Linked DNA regions of Rattus norvegicus. The protein of the gene in region 4 purifies or fractionates together with the protein of the main gene of each other region. This does not show direct contact. Links are inferred from orthologs where the notes say so. Each region holds a gene or a part of one and is shown on either strand. Other genes may lie near its edges.

Evidence for each region.
Region 1: the proteins of Ddx21 (region 4) and C1qbp purify together in Homo sapiens (co-immunoprecipitation; 3 studies listed by BioGRID and IntAct, with this or other methods). This does not show direct contact. The link is inferred for Rattus norvegicus from reciprocal best matches to the Homo sapiens genes DDX21 and C1QBP.
Region 2: the proteins of Ddx21 (region 4) and Rsl1d1 purify together in Homo sapiens (affinity purification with mass spectrometry; 3 studies listed by BioGRID and IntAct, with this or other methods). This does not show direct contact. The link is inferred for Rattus norvegicus from reciprocal best matches to the Homo sapiens genes DDX21 and RSL1D1.
Region 3: the proteins of Ddx21 (region 4) and Stau1 purify together in Homo sapiens (affinity purification with mass spectrometry; 4 studies listed by BioGRID and IntAct, with this or other methods). This does not show direct contact. The link is inferred for Rattus norvegicus from reciprocal best matches to the Homo sapiens genes DDX21 and STAU1.

The regions. Positions count from the first base shown.
Region 1 is NC_086028.1:56,198,165-56,205,737, reverse strand, and holds C1qbp (complement component 1 Q subcomponent-binding protein, mitochondrial precursor), read left to right. Parts: upstream 1-2,552; 5' UTR 2,553-2,553; coding exon 2,554-2,779; intron 2,780-3,206; coding exon 3,207-3,357; intron 3,358-5,039; coding exon 5,040-5,133; intron 5,134-6,252; coding exon 6,253-6,348; intron 6,349-6,501; coding exon 6,502-6,624; intron 6,625-6,806; coding exon 6,807-6,956; 3' UTR 6,957-7,204; downstream 7,205-7,573. Other genes in the region: Rpain (RPA-interacting protein), read right to left, coding at 7,333-7,362.
Region 2 is NC_086028.1:4,928,598-4,936,456, reverse strand, and holds the start of Rsl1d1 (ribosomal L1 domain-containing protein 1), read right to left. Parts: upstream 4,619-7,859; 5' UTR 4,568-4,618; coding exon 4,463-4,567; intron 3,755-4,462; coding exon 3,618-3,754; intron 2,868-3,617; coding exon 2,732-2,867; intron 881-2,731; coding exon 732-880; intron 649-731; coding exon 547-648; intron 1-546. UniProt on the Homo sapiens protein: Regulates cellular senescence through inhibition of PTEN translation. Acts as a pro-apoptotic regulator in response to DNA damage.
Region 3 is NC_086021.1:176,139,986-176,147,793, forward strand, and holds the start of Stau1 (double-stranded RNA-binding protein Staufen homolog 1), read right to left. Parts: upstream 4,963-7,808; 5' UTR 4,783-4,962; intron 1-4,782. UniProt on the Homo sapiens protein: Binds double-stranded RNA (regardless of the sequence) and tubulin.
Region 4 is NC_086038.1:31,088,909-31,096,021, forward strand, and holds part of Ddx21 (nucleolar RNA helicase 2), read right to left. Parts: intron 5,860-7,113; coding exon 5,428-5,859; intron 3,184-5,427; coding exon 3,108-3,183; intron 2,098-3,107; coding exon 1,919-2,097; intron 1,081-1,918; coding exon 963-1,080; intron 1-962.

The DNA.
Region 1 (7,573 bases), on a different chromosome or scaffold from region 4:
TGATCCAAACACATCTGTACTACTAGGATTTTCTCATTTATACAATGAATTGTACTGTTTATAAGCAATGGGCCAAACTACCTTCAAGGCACTTCGAAGACAGTGGCCACTTTCTTCACTGGGTCCAACAAGCTCTTTCCAGAGAGCGTAGCCTGACTGGGCACTTCCATTGCCAGGATCTCATTGGTCCACAGCTGTGTCTGTTGAGTCTGGTCTAGGCTTTATTATAACCCTAGCCATGGTTAGTCAAGCTTTTAGCCAGGACTTAGGGTTGTCTGAGTACTTGCGACTATTTCTTTGATAAAATGGTCACATTATCAACTGTCTGAAATGCTCTCCAGAATGTGTTTTCTTTTTAAGTGTATTTTTGTATTTATGCAAGGTTTATTTAACCTTGCTTGGCAAGAGGAACTTTTGTATTTTTAATAGAGCACTCATTATGCTAATTAAAGAAAACAAGGAGTAGGTAATATATTCCTCAGCAATGGACAGTTTCTGTTCCTTAGTAAACTTAAGAGGTGTTTTCTGGGTTAAAGGAAACGTAGATTGCAGTGGCTGGCTCCAGAGGAGGCCTAGGACTTTAACCTGGAGGGACTGCTGCAGAGAGGACTGGGGCTCCCCAGAAAAAGGAGTGAAGGATACCGTTTCTACATAACTAACGTATCTGTACAGAAATCTGCTTACCACCCAAACATTGTGGGAGAATTCTAATAGAGTATTTAGTTTTTTATTAAGCTTTTTAAAAAATTACCTTTCAACACAGTTGCTCAGGGATTACATCAGGTGGGAACCCCATTCTGACTCCACAGATCACTACAAAGAAGTTAATGCTTGTCTTAAGCCGAAGGGACAGCACTCTTCAAGCTTCCTTCAGAAAGTGAAATGTTTGGTGATTTTACTACAGTACAACCTAAGCTGCTTTTCCAGTTGGCAAACTCTCCAACATGAAGACTCCAGTCTGCACAGACTAGCCTCCAACAAGCAGCTGGACTTCAGTTAGCAGCCCTGCGTCCTGCCGGTGTTTATCTTCTCTGTAACCATGGCCACGACACCCGGGACAAGTTTCATTACCAGTCCCCTGTGAGAGCCTTTGCTCTCTTGTAACAGAATTCCAAAACACAGCAACATATTTACTGTGACACAATCCTTGTCTGCAGCTACCTACCAGGACCTGTTTGGAACTGTGGCCATGCATCTAAGATGCCATTCCTTGAGCACATAAGCTAGACTATACCTGTGAGGAAACAATTTTATATCGATTGCTGTAGTGTAGAAAAATAAGAAGTGGATTTGGACTTGCACTCTAATCTCTCTGATCTCAAACATAAGAAACAGTTCTTGTATATAATGCTCAAAAATTACTTTTGACTATTAAGTCCATAAAAACCTGAATCTTGTATACGATCTGTGTGGCCTCTTATTTTGGGCCTCCTTTCCCTTATTTAAAGAATGCTGTTTAGAATATTAAACAGTAGTTTCATTGCCATTCATTCAGTAAGACTCGGTATCCAACATTTGCTTTTGGTGTTTTGAGAGGTCTTTTATGTAACCCTGGCTGTTCTGGAACATGCTGTGTAACCAGGCTGACCTTAAACTCGGCTGTTTGCCTCTACCTCCCAGATGCTAGGACCAGAGAGCATGAGCGGGGTTTTTGGGGTGTGTGTGTGTGTGTGTGTGTGTGTGTGTGTGTGTGTGTGTGTGTGTGTGTGTGAAATTCGGTTGGTTAAATTTTGTTTTTGTTTCTTGGGTTGGGTTTTGGATTTTGTTGGTTTTGTTTTGTGTGTGTGTGTTTCTAATGTCCTTGAGAGTTTTGCCTGCATGTCTGCACTACGTTCGTTCATGGTGTTGGTAAAAGTCAAAAGAGGGTGTCTGCTGCCCTGGAACTGGAGGTAGATGGTTGTGAGAAGGCGTGTGGATGCTGGCAATAGAACTCCAGGCCTCTGTAAGAGCAACAGTGCTCTTAACCACTGAGCCCTGTCTCCAGCCTGTTATCCCTGATTCTCAACCTAAATGTGATGATGAAAGCCATCTATTCCTGCTCCCCCCCCCCCAAAAAAAAACGATGGTCCATTAAAACCGGTACACGAATTGTTAGGGGGTGCAGAGGTTTCCAGCATAAATCCTTCATCCTGTTCTTGGGATTCTGGGTCTAATGTGAGGCCTGGATGCCCACTCCACAGCAGCTGCATGCAGGTCAGTCTGAGCTTTTCAGAACTAGGCGGTTTCAGAAGACCGCTAAGTGATCTTTGTTGGGATGAGACCTGAGCGTATTCCACGAAGTAACAAAGTGTGGCTTGGGTTGAGAAAAGCAGGTGAATTGGGGAGAACGGGCAGCAAGGGAGATTTGATGGCCAGGGTAGAATACAGCTGAGCCAAGGCCTCTCGGGCTGCGCTGGCGGCTCCCAGCAGAGGGCGCGGTGCGGTCCGGCCCGGGTACTGCAGTCCTCCGACGTGGATAGCGCTTCCCGGGCGAGGGCGGGGCTTCCGGCGGCTCGCGAGGTCACACGGTGTCTTGGCCCGGTCGTCCTTCCCTTTGCACGTGTCCACCCCGCGATGCTCCCTCTGCTGCGCTGCGTGCCCCGCGCCCTGGGTGCCGCCGCCACGGGCCTCCGAGCCTCCATCCCGGCCCCGCCGCTTCGGCATTTACTGCAGCCCGCGCCCCGGCCATGCCTCCGGCCCTTCGGTTTGCTCAGCGTACGAGCCGGCTCCGCTCGGCGCTCTGGCCTCCTGCAGCCCCCGGTTCCCTGCGCGTGCGGCTGCGGCGCTCTGCACACGGAAGGTAAGGTTCACGCACCCTAGTCGGAATGCGGCGATCCAGCTCGGAACTGGCCCTCATGATCGCAGGTTCCCCTTCTCGCGTCTTGAAAATGTGGCTTAGCAAAGTCGGTAGGGTCGTGGTTTCAAAGTGTGGTTGTTGGGTCCACGTCTTTTTGGACATGGAAGAGGATAGTTGGAAATTCTTTTGTTTTATACGGGAAGTAATAGTAATGAGTTCATGATGAGAAATAACCATCTCATGATAAGTAATATCAGTTCAGCTCAGTAAATATATCCTGGTGTTTTTATAGAGTGAGGAACGGACGTTTTGAGGCGTGATTTACGCTACAGTCTTAGAACAGCCTTAAGAATAGATTACACGCAGTCCGAGTCAATCGGTTAGAGCAACTACCTTTTCTCACTGTTGATCATTTTGGCCTTTCTTTTAGGAGACAAGGCCTTTGTTGAATTTTTGACTGATGAAATTAAGGAAGAAAAGAAGATCCAGAAGCATAAGTCCCTTCCCAAAATGTCTGGAGATTGGGAGCTGGAAGTGAACGGCACGGAGGCTAAATTATTGCGCAAAGTTGCCGGAGAAAAGTAAGTACTGGCCCAGGGGTTGTATACTGGATTCTCAAGTCAGAAGTTCCTGGTTACAGCATCCTGTTCTGACCATCCCCAGAAGAGCCTGAGCTTAGGCCCAATGCTTTGATAAAATGGCTTTAAGAAAGCATTAAACTTGGGAAAGTTCTTAGGTTCCAGGGAGTGCATTCACTGAATGAATACAAGCTTCTATGGCTTGTATTAAGGAGACCTGAAGCAGCTCCAGAGTATGTAGAGGGAAGCCTGTGGGAGGGGCAAACGCAGTTATTGGGTTATTAATGAGGGGTGCTGTGCCAGTCTGGATTAAGCATTGGGTTGTTGTTTTGTTGTTTAATAGTACTGGTAAATCATTTGTTTAGAACTCCCGTCTGGCTTGTGTTTATAATAGTTGAAAGTGCACGTGTGTAACTGTTAAGTCACAGGAAGAAGTTACCATGTAGAAAGGCCATCAGACAAAGGGAGAAGGTTCTTAGCCAAACTTAGCTCTTCCTCTCCTCAAGGGATTCGGTTTGAGACAAGGTCTCTGTGTGGCTGCTGTGTAGCATAGACTGGGCTCAGACTCTGGGTCCTGCTGCTTCAGACACCTGTGTGCTGAGGTTGCAGACATGCGCCACCACACCTGGCACCCCTAAAACCGTTAAACCCTTGTCTGTGCTGTTTCGTGTTACCCATTCACCCACAGTCTTCCTTGGCTAAGTCTACTTGGACTCTTAAGTGCTTCTCTAGCTTGTGTGAGGCTCCAGGATCCATCCCCAGTGCTTCAGGAGCACAGTGTACAAGAAAGTTTTATTGGGGGTGCGGGGGTTTATAAGCTTAGCAGTAAGTGTGTGTGTGTAGATTAGAAAGTTCAAGGCCAGGCTGAGTGTCGGTGGGGCTCACCGCCTTTAATTCTATCACCCTGGGAGGCATAGACAGGTAGATTTCTGTAAGTTCAAAGCCAGCCTGGTCCACCAGCAAGTACTAAGACAGCCAAGGCTACACAAATAAGTCCTGTCTTGAAAAACCAAAATAAGAGAGGGAAGGAGGGAGGGAAGGAAGAAGTAGGTTTAGTCTGGGCTATCGCAGGTTGTACATGCCCTTTGGTTCACCTTGCCATTCTTTTTTCGGGGGCAAAGTGGCAGCAAGGCATTGCCCAGTTGGACTCCAGGGAGCAGCCCCCAGTACACTCTTCTTGGGTTGGTTGGCCCTCTGAATCTGTGTAAGCGGAACTTCTTTTCCAGGTGTTGAGACAAAGGAACTGTCTCTGACTTTAGAACAGGTGCTGTCCATCACATAAGAATTCTTACAGTCACACAAGGGCCAGGGTGCAGCTGTGAACTTCCGCCAAGCATGGGCAGGGTACTTATTTGAGCTCCAGAATCCCCCCAGAAGGGAAAGAAGCCACTAGGTGTTTCAGTTCCTAGTTTGTGGTTGTGCAAAGTGAATCTGCTCTGCAGTGGCTGTGAGGCTTTCCGGGGCAGATGGCTGTCCACCTCCATTAGCTTCCATGGGAAGACCCCAGGACACCAACCTGGCAGCTTCATCCACAGCTGTAGTCATTTAACTTGTAGGTACACTTCAGATGAAATTCTCTTCACTTCCCTGTGTGGCTAGGATGGAGACATTGTTTCAGTGGGCCTTGCTCTCCTGTTACCACTAGGTTAATGTGTACCTTGGTGTATCTCTACCTGCCTTTCTAGGATCACTGTCACTTTCAACATTAACAATAGCATCCCTCCAACCTTTGATGGTGAAGAGGAGCCCTCACAGGGGCAGAAGGCCGAAGAGCAGGAGGTAAGCAGTGACATGGCAGACAGCCAAGATTTCTGTCCCCAAAAGCAAGAACTGTTTCACTTTCACTCTTTTTAAAATCCTCCCTGCTAGGGTGAGGTGAAGGGTGAGCCTCCTGAGACCTGTAATGCAGTCATTCCGAGTGAGTTTTAGCTGGAGTTGTGGATGGACCATGTTTGTAGAGTGTTGTCCCCTAAGGGCTTAGGGTTTATCACGGGCCTGTGCCCTCACCCCTGCCAGTGTTGGGGAGTGGGGATACTTAGTATCCAGAAGCTATCGTTTGGAGTGTTTTCAGTGTGAAAGATGACAAGTGGGTAATCAACACTAGTCATGTGACCAAAATAGGAAGGCCGGGGGCGGGGCTTTTTAAATTGTGTTTATTTGTATGTTTGGGGCTTATGCGTGCAATTGTAGAGGTCAAAAGCAACTTATAGGAACGTCAATTCCATCCTTCTGCCATGTGGGTTCCAGGGTTAAACATCAGGCTTTGGCAGCAAACACCGGTGAACCACCTTGCCAGCTCAGCCTTAAGAGATTTTTAACATTTGATCAGTTGAGATTTTTCCTTTAGTTGCTGGCCCTCGTGACTGGGTCTAGATAGTATTCAGACATTTTAGAAATAGTGTGCCTGGCCTAGGAGCCAACCACTGAGGGGGCTACAGGATCCCCAGGCCATCTGACTAAGCAGATGGCAGTCTTGTGTACTGACAAGCATGAAGAGCGGAGTTCCCTGTTGTGCTTCTATCCTAGCCTGTACCCAACTCCTTATCCGCTGCCTGGGCCCGTCCTTTGGGTCACAGTAAAGGGAAGGTTCTGCCATTTCTGTTAAGGTGGCCACTTAGCTAGAGCCCCTATGTTCCAGGCTCTGATCCTGTACCAAAACAGTCAAAGGGGAAGGAGGTCTAGGTCTGTGCTTCAGCAGTGTGGGGGAGCAGAGATGCCATTCTAAACCCATGTGATTGATAACCTGTTTAGGGCTGTTGGAAGATTTGAGTGCCTTATCCACTGCCTAAGGCTAAGAAATGGGTAATAATAACCTAATGGCGTGGCTGTCGGACATTCTGAACTTCCTGGGGCACCCTACCAACACTGGCATGTGCTGACTTATTCCTGTCTCTCCAGCCAGAACTGACATCAACTCCCAATTTTGTGGTTGAAGTTACAAAGACTGATGGCAAGAAGACCCTTGTACTGGACTGCCACTATCCTGAGGACGAGGTTGGTAGGGTGGAGTCTCCTGACCTGTGTAGCATGCGCGGGAAAGGTCTGGTAGTCTAGACCAGAGGGGAAGATGGTGAGAGTGGGGTGGGAGCAGGGCTGGAACTGCAGGTCCTCTTGGCACTTCACTTACTTACCTTTGCTGTCTCTCAGATCGGACACGAAGATGAGGCCGAGAGTGACATTTTCTCTATTAAGGAAGTGAGCTTTCAGACCACTGGTGACTCTGAGTGGAGGGATACAAACTACACACTCAACACAGACTCCCTGGACTGGGTGAGTGCTGGCTGAGAGGGGCTGGTGCTTGGCTTTTGCAGAGAAGGGAGGAAGTAGCCTTACAGGAGGGAAAACTGTTGTTTGCACACATGCACTGGACCACATGGGAAGGTCAGAGGACCTTGCCAAACCACTTTGGTTTTGTTCTGTTGTTTTTCAGGCTAGTATGTTTCTCTCCGCAGGCCTTGTATGACCACCTAATGGATTTCCTTGCGGACCGAGGGGTGGATAACACTTTTGCAGATGAGTTGGTGGAGCTCAGCACAGCCCTGGAGCACCAGGAATATATCACCTTTCTTGAGGACCTCAAAAGCTTTGTCAAGAGTCAGTAGAACTGTGAGACTGAAGGCCTCAATCTAAACGGCCAGCTCTGGTGGGCGAGCAAAAGCTGCCTTGACATCACAACTATGCTTTGAAATGGCTGTCATCCTAATATATGGGGGAAAGCAAGTTTAAATTATCGCCGTTACACCTCCATTTACTATTCCTTTGGGCTCTTTTCCTGTACACATCTATTATTTGTAGATTTTTGTATGACATGATGATGAACAATAAATCTGACTTCATCTCCTCCAGGAAAGTTCCGACTTTTCTTTCACCCTACGTCAGAACACAAGAGCAGAGATGTTTGAAAAGTTTTAATATAAAATCAGTTATATACAAAAGGCCCTCTTAGGAAATGAGTTGTTTTCAGCCATGAGGTCAGGACTAGAGGATCACAGCCCAAGTGTCACAAGCCTGGATTAAATAGAAAACACGTTAGTGTAAATTATATCCTAGACATGAACAGTTAAGTCTTACATGGCTAACAGCTGTCAGCAGTCATGACGGGTGTACTACAAGTAGAACCACTGAGTTAATTCACTGGATACTTTATCAAAGAAGCCACACCTTTCATGGACCTGTTTGGCCATACTGACGCCATCAACAGTGTAGCTTATAAGCTAGG
Region 2 (7,859 bases), on a different chromosome or scaffold from region 4:
AGGGGGACAGCAGGTCTAAACAGGTACAATACTCAACAGGCTCCTCCCCAAGGCTACCTGAGCTCAGGCACTTTCCGTGGAGTTGGCAGGGCTGTGCAGAACTCCGGTGCTAGCTTTCCTGACAACCTCATGCTGGGGGAGGCCCTTCATGACACAGCTGCTTACGACAGGCAAGCCATGTCTCTGTAAGGAACATCACACGTGCCACTCTGCGTCAGCACAATAAGCTCCCCGTTCATCAGGGCAGACTGTACAATCACTCCTTTGGTCTATGGTTCCTGCCCTACCTAGGGTGAACACATTTGCCTAGCTGTCCAGAAAAATCAGACAACAAAGACAACGAACTTGTTATTGGGGACTGAAGTTACTTCTACCTCTTCTTTTTCTCATAAGACTTAAAAAAAAAAAAAAAAAAAAGAAAAAAGCTTACTGGGTTTTAATAGAAGGTCCTGGTTTGATTAACATGATCCTTTATGGTTAAAAAAAGGACTCGATCACAGTTACATGTACAGTTTAAAGAAATCGCATATAAATGTTCCTTGTTACCTGCAAGAACCACGCTTAGAGATGTTTAAGACGGTCCCTGTGATAGTTCGGTTAATCTCTTTGGACAGATTCTTTGCCAGAAGGTTTACAGATACTGGAACTCTAAAAAAACAGAGGCATCAAAACACTGGAGACACACAGAAAATCCCATACCATTAAAGTCTGGTCACTGCAAATAAACTCACTTCTTCCTCTGATAGAAATGCCTTCCTATGTGTGTGGGCAAATGCCGTCGGATTCGTTCATCAGCAATAAAGACATCAAAGCTACCCAGGAGGCGGAGCTTGGCTTCATAGGCTTTATATTCTGTTTTTAACGTCTTAAAGGGGATAATCTAGAATACAAAAACAAGCGAAACACCATAAAGCATTAAGATCTAAAACAGGAGGAGAAATACTTAACACTTCTCTTCACACCAGTCCCAGGGCTATGCATGCCTCTCTCAGATTAATGAATTCCTAAGCAGCTAAAATATGCTGGAGGCCTTGCAAAACGCCGGAAGACCCTGAGAAGAGAACAATCAAGGAGCCTGGATAAAAACCCAGCATGTCAGCCAGGCACTGAAGGAGATGACATAACTGTTCTTGACTATCTCAGGTTGAAGAATACTAACTCTGAGGGTAAGGGCAGCCGAGGCAATTGATCAAAATGCTATCTCAAACGTAATAAAATGAGCTACAGAGATAGCTTAGTGGTTAAAAGCACTGGCTGCTCTTACAGAGGACATGGGTTTGATTCCAACACCCACACAGTAGCTTGTGGCCATGTGTACCTCTCCAGGTGCAGGGAATCCAAGACTCTATTCTGGTCTACATGGGTAATTGTATGCACAAGGTGCACAGATACATGTAGACAAAACACCCAGACACTTGTTTAAAAAGCACGGGTGTTAGGGTGGGGTGGCAGCACCTGGTGTAGAGGTGTACATCTTATATCCTAGCATGAAGGAAATTGAGTTGGAGGCCAACCTGGTCTACACTGCAAGTTTGGGGTAGCATGTGCATGGTTTTGGAATCAATTCCTAGTACCAGGAGAAAGATAAAGAAACAGAGTACAAAGATAAACAAATAGTCACAAAACAGAGCCAGATGTGATGCTCTACAAGTACACGAAAAGTTGGGTTTTTAAACAATCTGGTATCATAGATGGCTCAGTACTTCGGAGCTCTGACTATATTAGAGAACCCAGAGAAACAAAACAACCTTCTACAACTCCAGCTGCAGGGAACCCCATCCTCCTGGAGGCAGTGTGCTCAAGACACTGAAAAAGATGTGAAATCTGACATGCATTTAGGTTTTCAGTTACAAATCAAAATAGTGCCTTTAGCAAAAGCAAAAGGAAATAGAGCCAACCAAAAGCAGAGACGGTAAGATTAAAAAGAGAAAGGAGGGATGGCTCAGTGGTTAAGAGCACTGACTGCTCTTCCTGAAGACCTGAGTTCAAATCCCAGCAACCACATGGTGGCTCACAACCATCTGTAATGGAATCCAATGCCCTCTTCTGGTGTGTCTGAAGTGTACAGTGTACTCATATATAATAAATAAATCTTAAAAAAAAAAAAGAGAGGGCTGGAGAGGTGGCTCAGAGGTTAAGAGCACTGACTGCTCTTCCATAGGTCCTGAGTTCAATTCCCAGCAACCACATGGTGGCTCACAACCATCCTTCTTCCCGTGTGTCTGAAGACAGCTACAGTGTATTCATATAAATAAAATAAATCTTAAAAAAAGAGAGAGAGAGAGAGAGAGAGAAAGGGGAGCTGGAGAGACGGCTTGGCAGGATTTGATGCTCCCTTGAAGGACCGGGGTTTTATTTCCAAGCACCCATGAGGCAGCTCTCACCACCTGTAATTCCAGCTCCAGGGAATCTCAATACCTTTTCTGGCCCTGGAGGACACCTGCATCCATGTGGTGCACACACACGTTAGGAATACACATTCATACCCATAAAGGGATAAGTTAAAATTACAGAGAAAGGGGGTTGGGGATTTAGCTCAGTGGTAGAGCGCTTGCCTAGGAAGCACAAGGCCCTGGGTTCGATCCCCAGCTCCGAAAAAAAAGAACCAAAAAAAAAAAAAAAAAAAAAATTACAGAGAAAGTGGACCTAAAGGACCATAAATTATAGCAGTGTATGATACTTCATTTCTAAAGTCTCTGAAAGGACTTTAACACATCAGCACACCTCCTACCTGAGAGATAGTGTTTACTCCATGCTTTTTCAAAAGCTTTTTATAGAAACCCTCTGTCTGTTCAGGTGAATCACATTCATCTTTGGTAAACAGACAGACTTCTGAGGATTCTGAGAGGATGCTATGAGGCAAAGACCTACAAAACATGACAAACAAGGAGCAAAGTGTTATTCCAGAACATGTTTATCCTCACTGAGAGCTAACGAGAACATTCAATACATACAGGCAGGCCAGATGAATCAGTGGGTGAAAACACATGCTCAATGCCATGCCCAACAACCAGAGCTCAAACTCCAGGACCAACATGGAGGGAGAGAAATGATACTGATTCACTCCCATATGTGTGCACCTAACCCTCCAGACAGATAGACAAACACACGAACAGAAATAAATGCAGTTTAAAAATATTTTAATTTATCTATTTTCATGGCATCCCTGGCTATCTTGGGACTATCTCTGAAGACAAGGCTGACTTCCAGCTAAAGAGATCTCCCTGCCTCTGTCACTTCTGGCTCTAAAAAGAAAACAATGGGCTAGAGAGACCAAATGCAGGAATCCACACATTCAGTAGTTAAGAGCATTTGCTTCTTTCCCAGGAAATCTGATTTCTGTCGCCTGTACCCACACTGGGCTGCTCATGACCTCTTGTTTCTGCAGTCCCAGGTGATCTGACACCCTCTTTTGGCTTCTGCAAGCACTGGACACATGTGGCCCACATTCTTATACTCAGACACACTCTGAGTGAGTTTTAACTTTAACCCCAGCACTCAAGAGGGAGAGGCATATATATTACTGTGAGTTTGGAGCCAGGCAAGCCTTAGTAACAACCAAACCAGCGGAAAAACAAATGAAACAAAACAATGAAACAAACAGATAAATTACTTACACTCTGATCCTAAGTTCTTTCTTTGGAATTTTCCATAGTATCACCATTAAAAACAGATTTTCACTCCCATTCAACAGCAATTCATTATTTTTTCTGGACTTGGAGTTATCAAACAGAACTTCTACTGCCTTTCTTATCTGCAGAGACAGAAAAATCGATTAATTTCCTCAATCTATGTTAATTGCTTCCATACAGATATATTTGTTTCCTTTGCTCCTTTGGGGGGCTAAGGTTTCAAGAGAGGACTTTTCTGTATATCTTTGACTGTCCTGGAATATAGTTCAGGCTGGCATCCTACTGAAAAGATTCGCCTGCCTGTCTCCGGAGGGCTGGGATTAAAGGCATGTACCGCTACGCCTGGCGCTCCTCTTTCTATTAAGCAAATTCCATCAGCTTATTAGGATCTTACAATTTGTACCCAGTGCAACTTAAGAATGCATTTAAAACATCTAAGTACCTTGGATCTGTTTACAAGTTGTCTTTTCTACGTAAGAGAAAAAGCTATTCAGAAGCTTCTCCTGCCCTCTACGGGAAAGGAAACGATCAGGAAAAGCGAATAGTGCTAGGAGCATTTATTGTGCGTCATGTGCTCAGGGCTGCTAAAAACACTTTGTGCACGTACATATGACCCGTAATGCTGCAGGACGGAGCGCAGAAGCCCACTTTCAACAGGAGGCAAACAGGCCGTAAGTGTGGGAAAAGCGAGACTGCTGGGGTGCGTTTTCAGAGGCCTGCCTCGAGCTCCTGGAAGCCAACGCAGTCGTGGGCCCACTTGATTTCCTGGCCTCTTGCCCCACACCCTGCACCACCCTGCTTCCGACTCGTTGTCCCCGAAAGCCACTCGCCTGCTCTCTGTCCAGCTGTTCAAGAGCGGTCGGTTCCGCTTGCACCTCGGTGGTGGTCGCCGTAGCGGCCGAGGCATCGGGAGACTCGGACGCTAAGCACTTCATGCCGCCTCGTGTGGAATTCAGGAGTCAGAATGCCTGCGCACGCGAAGCCCCCAAACCCGGAACCGGAAGGCAGAGGGTGGGACTGCAGGAGACCAGTGGTGTCATTTCCGGTAAGGCAGCGTAATTAGATGCTGTGGCTGTCCTCGGAACTAGTTGTTGAGGACTGAAGCGGTGCCTAGAGTATTCCAGTGGAAAAGTCTCCCTTGCGTCCGGCTCTTTCTGAGGCTCCAGGCCTCGCAAACCCTGTCGCTCCTCTCCGGAGAACACTGAGAGAGCGCCCTAAGGAGAGGCCAGAGCCCTGTCTTCGATCCCGTGCAGTCTTCCGAAGAGCGGGAAGCCGTGGCTTCCCACCTTGTTGTGACTTCAGGCGTCGGTTTCCCCAAATTGGTGGTGTTCCCATGAAATAAAGAGGAACCGCCAACACTAGGCGCGTGATGCTGCGCGAGAAACGAAAAAATGAGTCGGTCTTTCAGGAGTTTCGGCCCAGGTAAGACCCTAAGTGAGTATGAAGGGATAACTCGTAGAATACTGTCAGAACGTTTTAAGAGTGGTTAGTTACCAAGCATACCCACTGTGCTGGTTTCGCGTAATACAGTGTATTTGAGGTTGTTCTCAGTCAGTACAAGGCGCTCAGAGTGGTACCACCAGTTTTTATTTTCGTTTGGTTCGAGACAGGGTCTCTACTATGGCAGTTCTGGCTGTTCTGGAATTCTCTGTGTATACCAGTCTGACCTCGAACTCACTGAGATCCTCCTGCTTCAGGTTGCAGAGTGCTAGGATTAAAAGCATCTACCAATACTCCCCCACTTAAGTCAGGATTTTCCTATATAGCCAGGATTACCTAAGTGAGCCTCCTTCCCTACCTCTCACAAGCTAGATTTACAATGGTGAGCAAATCCCTATCCTCCAACTTGTACCCGCACAGAGACATAATTTATTTAGGAACTTTTACGTGGATGTTAAGGATAGTGACAGGCCCCCCTCAGCTAGCTGTGTGGGAATAAAATGTTCTCTCTCCATTGTCAGTTTTCCAAAAGTGCTCCTTGAAAAATCATACTCTGCTAGTGTCTGCTGAGGACTTTGTCTTAATTTAACTTGTAGAATGCACTTTTAGAAAAGTCATTGGCACCTGCTTCTACTTGTCTCTTTGAGAATCTGGTATAGGACGGACTTTTAGCATATTGCAATGAGTTGGGCTTGAGGCATGCAGTCTTCCTGACATACTCCAAAGAGCATTAGTGGTCTTAGATGTTCTCTTACCTGTATTCAAGTTTGAGAACCAGACTTTTTTGGTTTTTGAAGACAGAATTTCTCTGTGAACAGCCTTGGCTGTCCAGGATCTCTCCTTGTAGGCCAGGCTGGTCTTAAACTCATAGAAATCTGCCTGCCTCTGTTGCCCAGGTGCTGGGATTAGACTTTTTTGTTGCTGTTGTTGTTGGTTTGTTCCAAGAGATTTATTATTTTTATTTTATGTGTGGATGTTTTACTTGCATGTATGTCTGTGCACCACATGTGAGCAGTGCTGGTGGAGGCCAGAAGAGAGTCTTAGATCATCCTAGAACTGGAATTACAGATGGTTAGAAACCACCACGTGGATGCTAAGAGTCAAAACTGTAGTCTTTTGGGAGAGCAAGCAGTACTCAAGTCCCAAGCACCAGACTTTTGGGCCAAGGAAATTACACAAATTCAGATGGTAGATCCTGGAGGCGTTTGGAAACAATAAGTGACTAGAGCCAAAGAATTGCAAAAGAGATGGATATGAGGCTATTAAAACTGACAAAGGAACTAGTTATCAAACTGCAGTTACACGTGAAAGAAAAAGTACTAGTAGCAAAGGAAAAGTGATGAATTACACCTTTAGTGTAGTTGGTAAAGTTGGTCTGGCTGTGGTATTGCAAGAAGAAAGATCTAGAACTCTTTGGTAATCTTACTTTCAAGTAATGGGGCTTCAACATACACACCCCACATTTTCACCGTGAGCTGATAGTGACTTGGTTCTTCCTACTAGTGTATTGGAAACATAAGATGTCAAACATGGCCTGAGCGGCCTTTTACAGAGGGATTGCCGTGACTTCTAAGCCATGCTTGGCTGCAGAGCAGTACTCTCACCCCAGTGTCAGTTCTGACGTTAGTGTGATTACTATCATGCATGTAAGTTTTGTCTTTACAACTCCCTCTCATTCACTCATTTGTAAGGTGGCCCTAGAGAGAGGGAAGCCAGACGAGACGATATGCTGTGAGGCTACTTTGTCAACCAGCTAGCCACCACATGCATGAAGGTGGGAGCAAAGCCTTCTCTGCAGACACGAGAGACTCCAAGTCAGAAGCAGCCAGCTATGCTGCTCCAGCTTTCTCATAAACACTGAAGAAGCCTTTGTTAATTTTAGCTACCAAAGGGGGTGATTTGTTCTCTATCAATTGGTGTTTGATAGAAATTTATAGTCCTCCCATGTACATATTCAACTGTGTAATCAATATTTGCATTTTTGTATCTCACATTTACCAAGATTTACCATGAACTCATATGATCCCCTCAACTTGCTTCCCATGTATTTCCTTTCTCGGTATTGAGTACTTCTAAGACAAATTGAATTATTTTTAAGTCTTTTCTCCTCATCCCTCAATTTGATGAATAGTAGTTTGCAATGTGGATTTGGTGGCTCACATCCCTAACACCAGGGCTTCGAATTATAGAATTAGGAATTTCAAAGTAAGCCTTAGATACCTGGCATGTTTAAGGCCAGTCTAAGCTACATGAAACCATCTACAAACAAAACTGTGGAGATACATGGAAACCTAGATAATCCACAAATTTCTGAGCATGAATTATTGGACAAATGGATAATACTAATAATTAATAGGATTTAAAATGAAGAAAAAGGAACAGATTTAGAAGCTCTATCTAGGTAATTCTGGGATGCAGAAAAAGATGTTTCTGAGTAAAGAAGAAAGCTTAGACATCATCTTCATAGGGATGGTTACAGCTATGGAAATATGGAAATAGATGAGAAATACAGAGCCAAAACAGAGCCATCATGAAATCTTTAATTGTGGATTAGAAGAGGAGAGAGCTAAGGAAAAGAAAAGAAAATGTGGGTGGGGAGCACAGATCCAGCATAAGAATAGCCATTCTCATCCAAAATACCACACTAGCACAATATCCCATATCAACCTCCTTAAATATCTCCTCACATTTGGAATACTTCTTTTTTTTTTTTTTTTTTTTTTTTTTGGTTCTTTTTTTCCGGAGCTGGGGACCGAACCCAGGGCCTTGCGCTTCCTAGGTAAGCGC
Region 3 (7,808 bases), on a different chromosome or scaffold from region 4:
CAGAAACTTTGGTATGTGTTTAAAACTTTGTAATAAAATGTTGGGAGAAAGTAACCACAGCAACTCACAGGTCTTCTCATGTTCGTCCGTCTGTATCTTAGAGCAGCATAAGCACTACAGCTGGGATTCTAGAAAGACGTTTTTTGCTTTTGTTAAAAACAAAAAACACAGAAAATTCCACAAACACTTTATCCATTACAGGTCCCATGTGTTACAAGTCACGGAAATCTTAGTCAACAGTTTGATGTCTCTACAACTTCAGGCTGAAAGAATGCTTTACAAGCAATTCCAAAAGCTGTCATCCAAGGGAAGCAACAGTGACCGTCGCTTAAGATGGCCTGTCTGGAGATCCTAACACCCTAGCTGGGAGGGGTGGTGAGGAAAGCAGTCAGACTATATAACTGTAAACAGATTGTCCAAGACAAAACTAAAAGGTTTATGTATTTCAAAAACCCACAGCCTGGGGAACTGAGCAGGTCAGTTCTGAAGACACTGTGTTCACGTGAGTCCAGGAAAGGTGTCACACTGGGCTCCTACTGTCTGACCTGCCATGATTACAGCAAGAGCAATGCTCTGGTTTGGCTTCAGACTAGGGAATCTGGGATTCAGGAGTCAGGTCCACATATAAACTTAAAATAATATGTATATAAATGAGCTTTCTGGATGCATCTACTCTGAAGAGACTACAAGTACAGTAAAAATTCTAAGTACTCCAAAGTTTTACTTTAAGGCTAATGGGGAAGGACCATTGTTCTTAAATGTTTTATTCCTTCTTAGCCATAAATTCTGGGATTAGGGACAAGATCCTAAATTAATGTGAACAGACATCCCCCTCCCACCACCCAGGCTGGAACAACTGAAACCACAGAACACTGGCACTGTACTGACCAAGCTCTGAGCGAAGAAATAACAAAGTTACAGAGAAAATTGAGCAACGGCAGAACATTTACAACATTCTGGTCAATCTCATCTCTGTAAAAGACCTTTGCTTTCAGACAAGGGAAAATATAGTCTCTAACTTGGAGTTGCATCCTGGTCACAGTGCTAAGGTTCTTAGCATTCAGCCAATCTGTTGTTTGTAAATACCGCACAGCAATTCAACCACTTTTGGGGAGCTTGCAGTAGAGTTTAAGCCTGCAGCCTTGTGTGTGTTAGGCAAGGGCCTACCACTGAGCTATAGCCCTAAGGCCCTTTTCCTTCTACTCTGAGACAGGGTCTTTCTCACCACAGCTGCCCAGGCAGCTGCCTCAGCTTCCCTAATAGCTAGGACTGTATACAGCCTGAGGGTTCTAGAAGGCAAGTTTTGTTTATTTCTCCTTTTTGTTTTGCTTTAGACAGAGTCATCTTTTTGTTGTTGGTTTATGTTTACTGAAAATAGAATTTTCTTTCATACAATAATACAACCTACCCACAGTTTCCCTTCCTTCCACTCCTCCTAACTCACCTCCTCACCTCCTGTTTCCTCCAGAACCTCCCTTTAGAAGACACCAGGCCTCCAAAAGACAACAACTAAACACAACAAAACAAGATATAATAAAGTAAGACAAATGCCCTCCCAAAGCTGGACAAGGCAATCCTACAGGGAGGAAAGAGTCCCAAGAACTGGCAAAAGAGTCAGAGACAAAACTGCTCCCACACCAAGCTAACAGCTACAACATGTTTGCAAAGACCCCAGTGCAGACCATGCAGGCTCAGCCTGTGCAGACCATGCAGGCTCAGCCTGTGCAGACCTTGCAGGCCCAGCCTGCACACATCCTGTTTGGTTGATTCAGTGGGCCTTGCTCTGGTATCCTCCACCCCCTGTGACTCCTACAATTTTTCCTCCCACTCTTCCATGAGGTTCCCAGATCTGAGTGGAAAAAGCAGATACAGACCTCAAATTTAGACTCTCTGTCGGTCTCTGTGTAATGTCTGGCTATACAGAGCCTACCTCTGAACAGTCCCTAAACAAACAATTCTGCTAACAGCGCCAAGAATATCCTTTACCATATCACTAATATGACAGATCCAGTGAGGTAACAGTTAAGGCTGTGACAGAGAACCTGAGGTTGTCTTGGTTTTTTTTTTTTTTTTTCTCTTCTTTTCTTTTTTTCCAGAGCTGGGGACTGAACCCAGGGCCTTGTGCTTGCTAGGCAAGCGCTCTACCACTAAGCTAAATCCCCAACCCCAGTTGTCTTGTTTTTAAGTATTAAAGTTGAATGCTATAGAGGGCACTGTGTATTTGGTCACCCAGCTTTGATAATTATTAACTCATAGTTAAGGTCCATCTTGTCTCTTCTTGAACTCCCTCCTTTAAACTAGCTTGTTTTGAAAACAAATCCTAAATCTATCATAATCTTAGTCATTTTGACTTTAACCAGGTCATATCAGGCTGACTGTTAATCTGTCAATGAAATGACATTTCTTGTATACTAGAACTGACTGCGCTTTCTCTTTTTTTTTTTTTTTTTTTTTTTCTTTCTTTTGGGGTCTGGTTTCTTGGCTGACATATGATTAATACACAGCAGGAAAACAGCTGCAGAATTAGCGGACTCCCCTTCTCTAGGAGAATGCCACTTTTCAGCCCAGATTTCAGCCTTACTCCTTAAGGACTGAATCAACAGTTCCTGAACTATTAATGACTAATTGAAAAGCAGACAAATATTGAATGCCTTTGATCCCAGGACTCCTCCAAAGGCAGAGGCAGGGTGACCTCTCTGTCCAAGGCCAGCCTGGTCTACAAAGCAAGTTCCTGGACAGTCAGGGCTATGTTACCCAGAGAAACCCTGGTCTCTAAAAACAAAAAAATCCAAAACAAACAAACAAACAAACAAAGAGAAAAGCCATTACACTCAACAATGGACGCTAGAAACTATTTCCTGACATTACAAAAACACTAGGAAGATGTCAAAAACACAGACACAGCCATGCAATATCAGATGGGTGTGATATAAACATTCTCCACTTATTAAAGAAACTTACTGCCTAAAACAATCTGCCGAGAGGCTGAAGAGATGAGTAGCCCAGGAAAGGCAGCAACCCTCAGAGTCTGTTCCAGGAAATTAGGTAGAGAGCCGTCAAGGAAGACAAGACACCAGAAGTTGACCTCCGGCCTCCATGTAGAAGAGCATTGAGCACAGAAAACACACACTGAATTGCTCTTATAAATCTGCTCCTGTACCAGCTGTGTTTCTTTAAGGAGGAGGACACCTATGACACTAAGCACAGATTTAAAAACAAAAACAAGGGGTTGGGGATTTAGCTCAGTGGTAGAGCGCTTACCTAAGAAGCACAAGGCCCTGGGTTCGGTCCCCAGCTCCGAAAAAAAGAACCAAAAAAAAAAAAAAAAAAAAAGAGTACTTAATCTTACTAAAGAAAAGAGAAAGGCTGAGTCAGAATAAAGAGTCTACTAAAAGTTCACTAGAATGACCAAGACTTCTCCCTCCACACTCCCCAAATGTATTTTTAGTTTTTACTTCAACAAGTAGTGATGTAATTTGCATTTGGTAAGCACAGATCCCTGAAAGACCAAAATCCTAGTTTAAATCTCTTCCAACACTTCCAATTCTCAAGAATTACAGTTACCCAGACTGGGCTACAGAGCAAGTTCCAGGACAGCCTGGGCTGCACAGAGAAACCACATCTCAGAAAAAAACAAACAAGCAAGCAAAAAAACAGAAACAGAATTTCAGCTATAAGCAGTTGAAAATAGTGACCTTTAAAAGGCACACAATACATGGGCAAAATGCAAAAGGGTACAAGATAAAGCTTCAGACCAGCAATACTGCCACAAGGACGGAGGTGCGGCCAGAGTTTAAGGGAAACGGATAGGTACCGGGAGTGAAATCGAAGCTCAGCTAAAGAAAGTGAAGAACTACAGATGTGGACCAAGAAAGCACGGTTTTAGCATCTTTGCATACTCCACCTCCAGAACCTGACACACAAGAGGGCTCCAAAAAGGTCTGCTGAACCCAAGGGGAGCTTATGCCAGCAACTTTCTCATAAAAAGGAATGACAATAACGTTCTGGGTGGTGGCAAGGAAACATGGGACAGGTTGCGGAGCCTACGGGAGCCAGTGAAGTGCCTGAAACTGGTTCTACAGAAAGGATGGCTTTACATCCATAACCTGTCTGCTACAGTGTCCCCATTAAGCGCGCGCCCCTTTCTGGTGCCAAGCAAGCACAATGCCCAGGCACTGGCAGTGGGCACGAGGGATTCTTCTGCCTCGGAGAAAACCCAAATGGGAAGGTAGGTCAACTTCTGTCCAGTCTGAAGCCTAAATTATACTTTCATACCACGTTAATAAATTATGCAAACGGTTTATTGGGACACGGTGTGGGTCTGGCACACTGATAAGCGCTTTACACGCCCCATTTCACTGCAACTTCACAGCCTGAAGAGGCAGGGACGGGGTTGGGACAGGATTAATACTCTTCCCCCTCCTTTTCCCCCTCACAACAGAGACACAAAGAGTACGAAGTGACTTGCTAAGGGGACAGAGCCGGGAATTGGCACCTTATCCCACAGCTCCGCAGTGGCCGCAACACTGTGCACAGCACCGAAACCTGGTGGCCTGCCGACCGGCCCAGCCCCTGCCCGCGACCCCCGCGTTAACTCCCGCACTGGGCCCACGAGCAGCGCGGAGGGCCCGCCTCCTCCGGGAAGGCCCCGCGGGCGGAGATGAGCCTGGGCCGCAGCTCCCGCGCCCTCGAGGCCTAGCCCACCCGCCGCCCACCTCCCGCTGACGCCGTGCCTGCGTGGGTCCTTCCGCTGCTCGGCCCGGCCCGACCCGAGCGCCTTACCTGGCTGCTTCCCCAGAGCTCGTCCCGGGGCCGGCGGTATTGGGCGGCGGCGAGGAAGAAAAGCAAAAGAAGAGGGCGAGGAAAAAAAGACCGGGGGAGGGAAGAGACGGAGTGGCTGCGGAGAAGGCGGGCGCCGCCGGGCCGGGGGTCAGAAGAAGGGGGAGCGCACACAGACGCGACGACAGCCAGCGCAAACGCTGAAGAGTGGCTCGGCGCCTGCAGCCCGGCAGGAAGTGACGGGGGAGGGGCCGCGCCCGCCCCCGGCCCCCGCCCGCCTCCATGCCGGCCCCACCCCCCCCACCGTGGCAGGAACCACAAGTCCCAGCAGGCGCCGCGTCCAGCATGCGCTCTCTAGGCACGTAAGACCAACGGGGGCCAGGCACCGCTGCGTTGAGTCCAAGGTGTACTGGGAGTTGTAGTTTCCCAGGAGCTCCGGTTCGGCAGGGAAAGCAGGCCTAACTTCCTTTCTTGTCCAGGCTTTATGTTTCCTTCCTGCGTTCACTCCTTCTTCCTATACTAACATTTGTTAACCTGCTGCTGTGTACAAGGTCAGAAACTGAAAATACAGTGAGAATGCACAAGTCCCGGCCCTCATGGAGTTTACATTCTACTGGGGAAAGCACAGTAAATGAAGTCTGATTCTGTTTTAAGACAAGCACCAAGTACTTTCTGGTTGCTTTCACGGAGCTCTAAACTGAGTGTGCTTCTGTGGACAAGAGGCTGGTGTTGGTTTCTTTGATGTGGTCCTGGAGATTGAAGCAAACTTCTAGCACTGAGCTCCATCTCCCACTCATGATGTAACTTTTCTATTCGCCCTCTTGGGTTTTCTTAATTTTCTTGCGCGCGTGTGCGTGTATGTGTGAGTGTGCATGGTATGTATGAGCGTGTGAGTTCAGGTGTCCACTGAGTCCAGTGCTGTCACTTCCTGCCTGGTGCAGGAGTTATAGGCAGTTGTGAGACAGGTCCTCTTCAAGAATAATAACTGCTCTTAACTGATAGCCATCTCTCCAGCCCTGTAACAGCCCTCTTATGGGAGGCAGGGGAGAGAGGTCTTTAGTACTAGAAAGATGGGATCCTTGTCAGAGGTTATGGGATCCTCTGCGGCTTATTTTAAGTGATGCCTGTGATTGAAGCACCTAGGTAGACATCATAGCTAGATACCCAAGGCTCTAGGTTCCATCTCTACCCCAAAAGTACACACACACACACACACACACACACACACACACACACAGAAAAAACCCTAGCCAGGTGGTAGTGGCACAGACATTTTAATCTCAGCCCTTGGAGAGGCAGAGAGAGGTGGATCTCTTGAGTTCCAAAACAGCCAGGGCTACAGACAGAAACTCTGTCTCAAAAAAACAAAAAATTAAATAAATAAATAAATAAATAAATAGTTTGCCTAACAACTCAGTCTCCTTGCCACAGCACTGTGGCTGACTTTGCATGAATTCACAATGCTATCTGCTGTAGCTAGAGAGACCCTCCTCTGACTTACCCAGATCTTGGGAGACTCTTTTATCCCAATCAGGTCTCCTTAGTTTGCTTCTTGTAAAATTCAGTGACATTGAGTTCCAGTACCAAAACCAGCCCAACCTTCTGGTTCCCAACCAACCCTGTGCTAAGTAGGCCACATAAAAATATGTAGGTTCATACTGTACATCTACAATGTACTTACAAATAATAAAAAAACGTTAAAAAAAAATAGGGGGTTGGGGATTTAGCTCAGTGGTAGAGCTCTTGCCTAGCAAGTGCAAGGCCCTGGGTTCGGTCCCCAGCTCCGAAAAAAAGAAAAAAAAAAAAAAAAGGCAGTTCAGGGCAGTGCAGATGCCCACTGGGTAAAATGTGCATATTTTACACACAAAATAATAAATTTTGGTGGGTTTTTGTTTATTTGGGGGAGGGGTTGGGTTTTGTTTTTTGTTTTTTGTTTTTTTTTGAAACGGGGTCTTATTATTTAGCTCTGGCTGCCCTCAAATTCAGAGAGATCCGAATACCTCTGCCTCCTGGGTGCTGGAATTAAAGGTAGGTGCCTCTACAGCCATTAAAATAACTAACTCCGGGTTGGGGATTTGGCTCAGTGGTAGAGCGCTTACCTAGGAAGCGCAAGGTCCTGGTGTTCGGTTCCCCAGCCCCGGAAAAAAAAAAAAGAACTAACTGTTCTAGATGATCCTCCTGCCTCGGTCTCTCAACCGCTAGGATTACAGTGCCTAACTAATGTCCAAAGTATTCCTCACATAAAAACAAACCCAGTCTGGACATGTCAGCACACACCTTTAATCCCAACCCTAGAGAGGCAGAGCAGAGCAGATCTCTGAGTACAAAGCCATTCTGGTCTACAGAACAAGTTTCAGGCTCAGCCAGGGCTACACAGTGAGAGCCAGTAACAAAATTACAACAACAATAACCAAAAAAAAAAAAAAAAAAGTGTGTGGACCTTGGAAGAAAATCGGTAGTCTCTAAATACAGAAGAAAACAAACTTGTGGGCTGGAGAGATGGCTCAGTGGTTAAGAGCAATGACTGCTATTCCAGAGGTCCTGAGTTCAAATCCCAGCAACCACATGGTGGCTCACAACCATCTGTAGTGGGATCTGATGCCCTCTTCTTGTGTGTCTGAAGACAGCTACAGTGTGCTTATGTATAATAAATAAATAAATCTTTAAAAAAAAAAGAAAACAAACTTGCTGGAAAGCACTGTATTGCCAGGGAAATATTAGTGATTCCCCCCCAAACAGACAGGGGCCAATCTGATGCAATCACAATAGGGTCTTTTTATTTTATTTGAGCTAGCTCAGGCCCCTCAGCGCACCACCGCCATGCAGGATGGTTTTGGTGGTGAGGAGCCCCAAATATCTATCAGGGCTTTAGAGTAAGCAGCAAGTGGGGTGGGGGGTAGGGATAGGGGTGTGTGAGTGTGCAAGTATCTAATTGGAGAGTTACTACGGCCTTTAACATCATTGGCTGGTGCTGGGAGTCATATCATAAACATAGTTTCTGTTTCCCTCTGCATTGGTGGTCATTAGGC
Region 4 (7,113 bases):
GTTTAAGCTCCCTGCACCAAGCTGGGAGAATCCATTTAAATGGATTTCACTCCAAACTATTACTACCAAGTGATATGTGGTGAGAAATGACAGCAACAATAGTGGAGGCTCATGTGCTCCTCCTGTGAGCATGGCTGGGCCAGCGTGCTAACACAGTAGGAAAATGATCTACTGGGAAATAGTGGTGCAAGAATGACTTCCTGTTTGGCTGGCAGAAAATGTCAGGACTTCACAGACCTTAAGTGATGCTCTTAGAGAACCAGAATCATTCCTTTTGAGACACAATATCAGTATGTAGTCTGGAGTGCTGCTCAACCCAGCCCTCTTCCCTGCTGTCACTCATGCGTGACTGGATGTAAAAGTGAGAAGGCATAGAAGGGTGACTACTCTAGGGAGCTCTAGAAGCACTGGGACTGTGGTGCCCACCCACCGGGCCTGGCATGAGGGCAATCTGGAGGCTTTGACCGCTGCTGCTGTAGTCTATGGTCTACACTAGGCACCATAGTTATTTACTACAACCTTCTTTAAGAGGAAAATGAACCAACTTGGACATCTAATTAGTATGGCATCAGTCAAGATTCAAACATAGGCCTTCCAAAGTCAGTGAGGATGGAAACCAGACTCATTGTGTATGGATGTTTGATTCTCCTTTCCAAGAGAGCAGCATCCTGACTAGGGAGGACTAGGATAGGAAGAAGAGACTATAGCCCAAGCTGATGCTTGTGAAAAAAGGGCCACCTACAGCAAGAAATGCACATGTAGAAGGGGTGAGACGGGCACCCTGGGTCTGTCCTCTTGGTCATCAGATAAATACTGAACACCCTAAGACTTACTTACCTAAAATCACCTAGGACCCTTCTCTTCGCCATCCTTCAACAGCAGGCAAGAGACCCCAAAATATGACACACTTCAAGTTGAGAAGGCACCCACAACACCCTCCTCCAGCATTTGAATGTACTTACTTTGACCACCATAGGGAGTTCCACCATAAAAACAGGCTACTGAGAGCTTTTTGGTGATGTCACTGAAGTCTTTGCTCACTTGATTTGCTAATTCTCTTGTAGGTGCAAGGACTAGCACCTGGAAGAGAAGCACAGGATTTCTAAGTACTGCGTCGTAACTGTCTCTCAGCCACTGCAGAATTCACAATGCTCGACTCATCCAACCATCTTGCTAAATACGGAAAAAAGTCACCATGTGCTGTGTGGTAAATCTCATACTACATGCCAGGAGCGAATACCGTCTTCCCCCAGGCAGTGTTTTAAGACCTGTGAGCACAGCAATCAGAAGTAGGTGTGTACATGCCACTGCTCCAGAGACTAGTGCAGAACCGCCAAGAAAAGAACCCAGAGGAGCTACACCCAACATTAGCTGTCATTTTTCCCTGATGCCTTAGGCGACTCAAAGTACTTTCTATTTTTTATTCAGAATTAATGCTCAACAACCTTTGAGGCAGAAATTAAAGAGGAAATGCTGGAGTCCAAGGACCCACTGGAGACCACGCTTGGACTCCAACCACAGCAGGCAGGCTCTTTACTCACTGGGCACATCTGGGTAACAGCAGAAACAATGACAGAACCAGGTGTGGGAGGACAAACCTTTACACTGCCAGCACGAGAGGCAGAGGCAAGCTGGTCTCTGTGAGCTAAGTACCAGCCAAGTCTAGAGACCATGACAAAATAAACAAATACCCAGGACCCCGTCTGTGAGCACTGAGAACCTCCAACACTTTAAAGGAAATATGAACATTAGTAAGTATGGATGACTGCAGCCATGCGGCACATTACAGGACAATGACAGACTTGATGGCCAGCCGTCTGAAAGACTCGCCCCAGTCTACTCAGATACACAGGGTGAGACAAGGACCTCGGAGGTTCTGGGAGCTGTCCCTGAGCCTGTGATGCACTGTGACAGTTACCTGAGGGGCTCGGCCTCTCTTCCTCTCTTGCAGCCCACCTTGAAGTTTCTCAATCAAAGGGATGGCAAAGGAGAAGGTCTTCCCGGTTCCTGTGCGTGCCTGGGCGATTAAGTCCTTCCCACTGTACACATGGTGGAATGTCTTGGCTTGTATAGGGAAGAGGAAGTTCACCCCACGAGCTGCGAACGAATGATTGTGTTACCTTTGTTTTATTTTCAGCCTTAGGGATCAAATCTTGAGGCTTTGTTAAAATAACAACCCCAGGGCTGGGGATTTAGCTCAGTGGTAGAGTGCTTACCTAGGAAGCGCAAGGCCCTGGGTTCGGTCCCCAGTTCCGAAAAAAAGAACCAAAAAAAAAAAACAACCCCAACTGAAACACAGTCATTTTTGTGGTCCTGCAGAATTAGGGGATTCTACCTTATTTATTTATTTATTTATTTACTTAGTGTATATGAGTACACTGTAGCTGTCTTCAGACACACCAGAAGAGGGCATCGGACCCCATTACAGATGGTTGTGAGCCACCATGTGGTTGCTGGGAATTGAACTCAGGACCTCTGGAAGAGCAGTCAGTGCTCTTAACCACTGAGCCATCTCTCCAGCCCGTTTCTACCTTTTCACAAACATCTACCTATGAAGTCTCAGCGTCAATATATTCCTAGTAGAAGTCTTCCTAGAAGAATCCACTAGACTGGAAATTATTTCTAATAACTTTTTGATTGTAACTTAAATAGTGTGGTTGTCACTTTTGATCAAATCTCACCCACAAGCTCACCTGAACTTTAAAAACGGAGTCTATGTTCAACACCACGCTGTGCTGGGGAGAGCATCTGAACTACTCAGTAGAACAGACAGAGCAAAGGACCCGACACCCTGAGAGGCTAACCTCAGGTGCAAGAGGAGATATGGGCAATTAGGATTCTACCTTATTTATTTATTTGGTGTGCAGAGGTCACACACACACACACACACACACACACACACACACAGAAGAGGGGGGGAGGGGAGAGATAAAGGGGGGAGAGGAAAGGAGGGAGGGCAGGTGCCAGTCACCACACTTGTGAATGACCCCAGACAGCACAACCCCAGAGGTAATGCACAGGTCTCCTCCACTGTAGCATAGGTGCCGGCAGGAAGAAGCAAGGTCTCCGTGCACTGTTAGAGAGAGTCATGATGCTCCGGACCTCACCTTTGAGAAGTTTGACAGTCTCTTCTGATATGGGAAAATTAGAGAAGGCTCCTTCTTTCTGCTCCACGGGTATTTCCTATCAAAGCAAAAGACCACAGAAATCAGCAATTCACATACCAGTAAATGCAGAAAGCCCTCTGGAGAAACAGAAAAGCCATTTTCAAACAGCTCTGGAACAAAGACACTTGCTGTCTAAACCTGAAGAACTCAGTTTGACCAGCAGAACCCACAGAGAACAGACTCTACAAGTTGTCTAACACACACACACACACCCACACACACCATGGTACGTGCATCAGCCTTCCACAAAAACTGAGCATTAAAAGATTTATTTAGGGCTGGAGAGATGGCTCAGAGGTTAAGAGCACTGACTGCTCTTCCACAGGTCCTGAGTTCAAATCCCAGCAACCACATGGTGGCTCACAACCATCTGTAATGGGATCAGATGCCCTCTTCTGGTGTGTCTAAAGAGAGCAACAGTGTACTTGCATACATAAAAATAAATAAAGACATTTTAAAAGATTTATTTAGGGCTGGAGAGATGGCTCCATGGTTAAGAGCACTGACTGCTCTTCCAGAGGTCCTGAGTTCAATTCCCAGCAACCACATGGTGGCTCATGACCATCTATAAATGAGATCTGGTGCCCTCTTCTGGCCTGCAGGCATACATGCAGGCAGAATGCTATATACATAATAAATACATCTTTGAAAAATTTATTTACTTATTGTACATATGTAGGTATACTGTCCCTGTCTTAAAACACACCAGAAGAGGGCATCAGATCCCATTACAGATGGTTGTGAGCCACCATGTGGTTGTTGGGAAATGAACTCAGGACCTCTGGAAGAGCAGTCAGTGCTCTTAACCACTGAGCCATCTCTCCAGCCCCTGAATGTCTTTTTTTTTTTTTTTTGGTTCTTTTTTTCGGAGCTGGGGACCGAACCCAGGGCCTTGTGCTTCCTAGGTAAGCGCTCTACCACTGAGCTAAATCCCCAACCCCCCCTGAATGTCTTTTAAAAGGAGAAAAAAAGCTCACCTAAACACCTCAGTTGACAAACCAATCAGTAGAGGCAGGTAGATGGCTTAGTGAGTAAAAGCCCTGACTAACCTGACAAGACACCAGAGTTCAACCTTCAGACCCCTCAGTTTCCTCCAACGTCCAGATACACAACTGTGTGTTCTCTTGTGCTGTACTGTGAGTCCAAGGCCAGTCTGGAAATATATACAGTAAGACCCTGTCTCAACCTGCCTTGATACCTAATAAAGAAGCCTGGGTGTGCCTTTATTTTTAGCATTTGAGATACAAAATGAGATCTCATTAAGGAAAACAAAAAACAAGACAAAATGGGGTTGCGGATTTAGCTCAGTGGTAGAGCGCTTGCCTAGCAAGCACAAGGCCCTGGGTTCGGTCCCCAGCTCTGAAAAAAAGAAAAGGAAAAAAAAGAAAAAAAAAACAAGACAAAACAAAAACCCAGTAAGCTCGGTAGTGGTGGCCAACTACTTTGATCCAGCACTTGGGCAAACCAGAATTCCAGGCTAGCCTAGTGTACAGAGTGAGTTCCAGAACAGCTAAGGTTACAGAGAAACCCTCACAGGGAAGTGATAAAAAAGGGTATTTAAAAAAATGGGGACCTGAGAGATCAATCTTGATTAAGAATGTACTTACACAGCTAAGTGTGGTGGCACATGCATTTAATTGCAACACTCCCTGAGGAGATGGCTCTCTGTGAGTTACAGGCCAACCTGGTCTACATAATGATTCCTAAACAACCAGGGCTATGTACAGTGGCTCTGTCTCAAAAACCAAACCAAAAGAGAGGATGGGGTTCAATTCCATGCGCAACTCCAGAGGCTGCTGACTCACAGGCAACGGAAGTACACATATGTGATATAGACGCAGGCAAACGATATACACAAGACGTACACATATAAAAATCAACTTGAGAGAGAGAAAGAGAGAAAGAGAGAAAGAGAGAAAGAGAGAGAGAGAGAGAGAGAGAGAGAGAGAGAGAGAGAGAGAGAGAGACAGACAGACGCTCAAGTGTTTGGAGATGTGGCTCAGCAGTAAAGCACTTGTTCTTGCAGAGGTCTAGGTTTGACCCCCAGAATGCACATGGAGGTTCACAACCATCCATAACTCCCGTTTCAGCAGACCCAAAGGGCACCAGGTACAAACAAGGCACACAAATACACATCCAAGTAAAACACCCAAACACACAAAAATAATAAAATAAACCTAGAAAAAATATTAAGCCCAGTGCTCGCGCGCAGGCCCCACAGTGAGAAGGAACGCAGTCCTGCACACACAGGCAGGCTCACCTTTTCTGTCTCGCTTTCCTCTCCGGGAGCTTGGGTGGAGCTGGAGTCTGGCTTGGGATGGGAGAGCCCATTCTTCAGCCCGGGGCTCTTCTCTCCCACATCTCCGTTTGCTTCCTTCCCTTTCTTTGTCTTTTTGGGCTTAGGAGCGTCTGCCTCTTCCTCAGAAGGCTCCTCGGCTTTCATTTCTTTGGTTTTAGCAGAGGGTGCTTTCTTCTCTAGGGGCTCCTTTTTCTTCTTGGAGGTTTTGCTTTTAGAAGCAGGGTCATCTTGAGGCTCCTCCTCCTGCTTCTTGGCCTTCTTGGATTTAGGGGGACCCACATCATCCTCAGAAGGCCCTTTCTTTTTAACTGCTTTCACTTTGGAGGAAGCGGCCTCTTCCACTCCTTCTGTTGCCTCGTCAGTCTTAGATTTTGGCTTCTCTTTTCTAGTTTTCTAAAAATTTATAAAAGACACAGCAAAAACCGCAATAATGAATAAAGCTGCTATACTGTATAAGGCCCATCAATTCTGGATTACCACAGGACTACTTACAGTTGTGAAAAACACAGCTTTAGGCATTTCAACGCTGTAGAAGTTAAAAATCAACCCTGATGTTATACACGTACAGTGTGTGTGTGTGTGTGTGCAATCACTTTAAAAGGAGACCATGGATTTGAAATGGAGCAAAGTGGAAATTACATGGAAGGGAGGGAGGGAGGGAGGGAGGGAGGGAGGGGGAGTGATGATGTAATTAGAATCACAACGTTAGAGAGACAAGGTGTGGCTCTGGCGATCCTGGGCCACTCTGCAGGCCAGGCTGCTGTTGAACTCATGGAGATCTGACTGCCTCTGCCTCCTAAGATTAAAGTCATATGCTATTGCACCTGGCTTAATGTAATTTTAATTAAAAAATAAGTCTCACAATATGCTTTTAATACCACTTCTTAGATAAGTGGAAATAAGTATATACCAATAGTCATTAGCATGGGGGAATAAAAGAGTTCTTCAAACTAAGTCAGGTTTTATCAGCCAACCATTATAAAACTAATTTTTTTAGAGAGATTCCCAAGGCTCTAAACTACATACTCCAAAAAATGGTTCAGGAGGCAAAATTCTTACTGTGCCATCATGAGGGGTTGACAGGAAGCTCTAGCACCCACAGGGAAAAAAATGGGTATGATAGCACATGCTTGTCACCCCAGCTGGTGGGGGTGGAGTAGGGAGCTAGCCAGACTAGGTGAATCAAAGGGCTCCAGATTCGGAGAGAAACCTTGTCACTCCATGCTGGGGAAGGGTCGATACACACCTTTAATCCCAGCACTCAGGAGTTTGAGGCCAGCCTGGTCTACAGAATTCGTTCCAGAGTGACCAGGGTTATGCAGGTTAGGGTCTTGGTGAGGTGGGGTAGCTAACACTGCCCTCTAACTAGCTGTATGGGCAAGCACATCCATCCCCATACAGGAGCACACACTGTAACAGTGAACAAGCACTGCCCAAAGGTTTGTGTGTCCTCAGATAATTGCAAAAGCAGTTTTCTTTTCCCTCCTAAATTTCTATATGGTTATTTTGTCTTTTTTTTTTTTTTTTCCGGAGCTGAGGACCGAACCCAGGGCCTTGTGCTTGCTAGGCAAGTGCTCTACCACTGAGCTAAATCCCCAACCCCTCTATATGGTAAACACGCAAGAAGTTTGTACTTCACTGTGAATT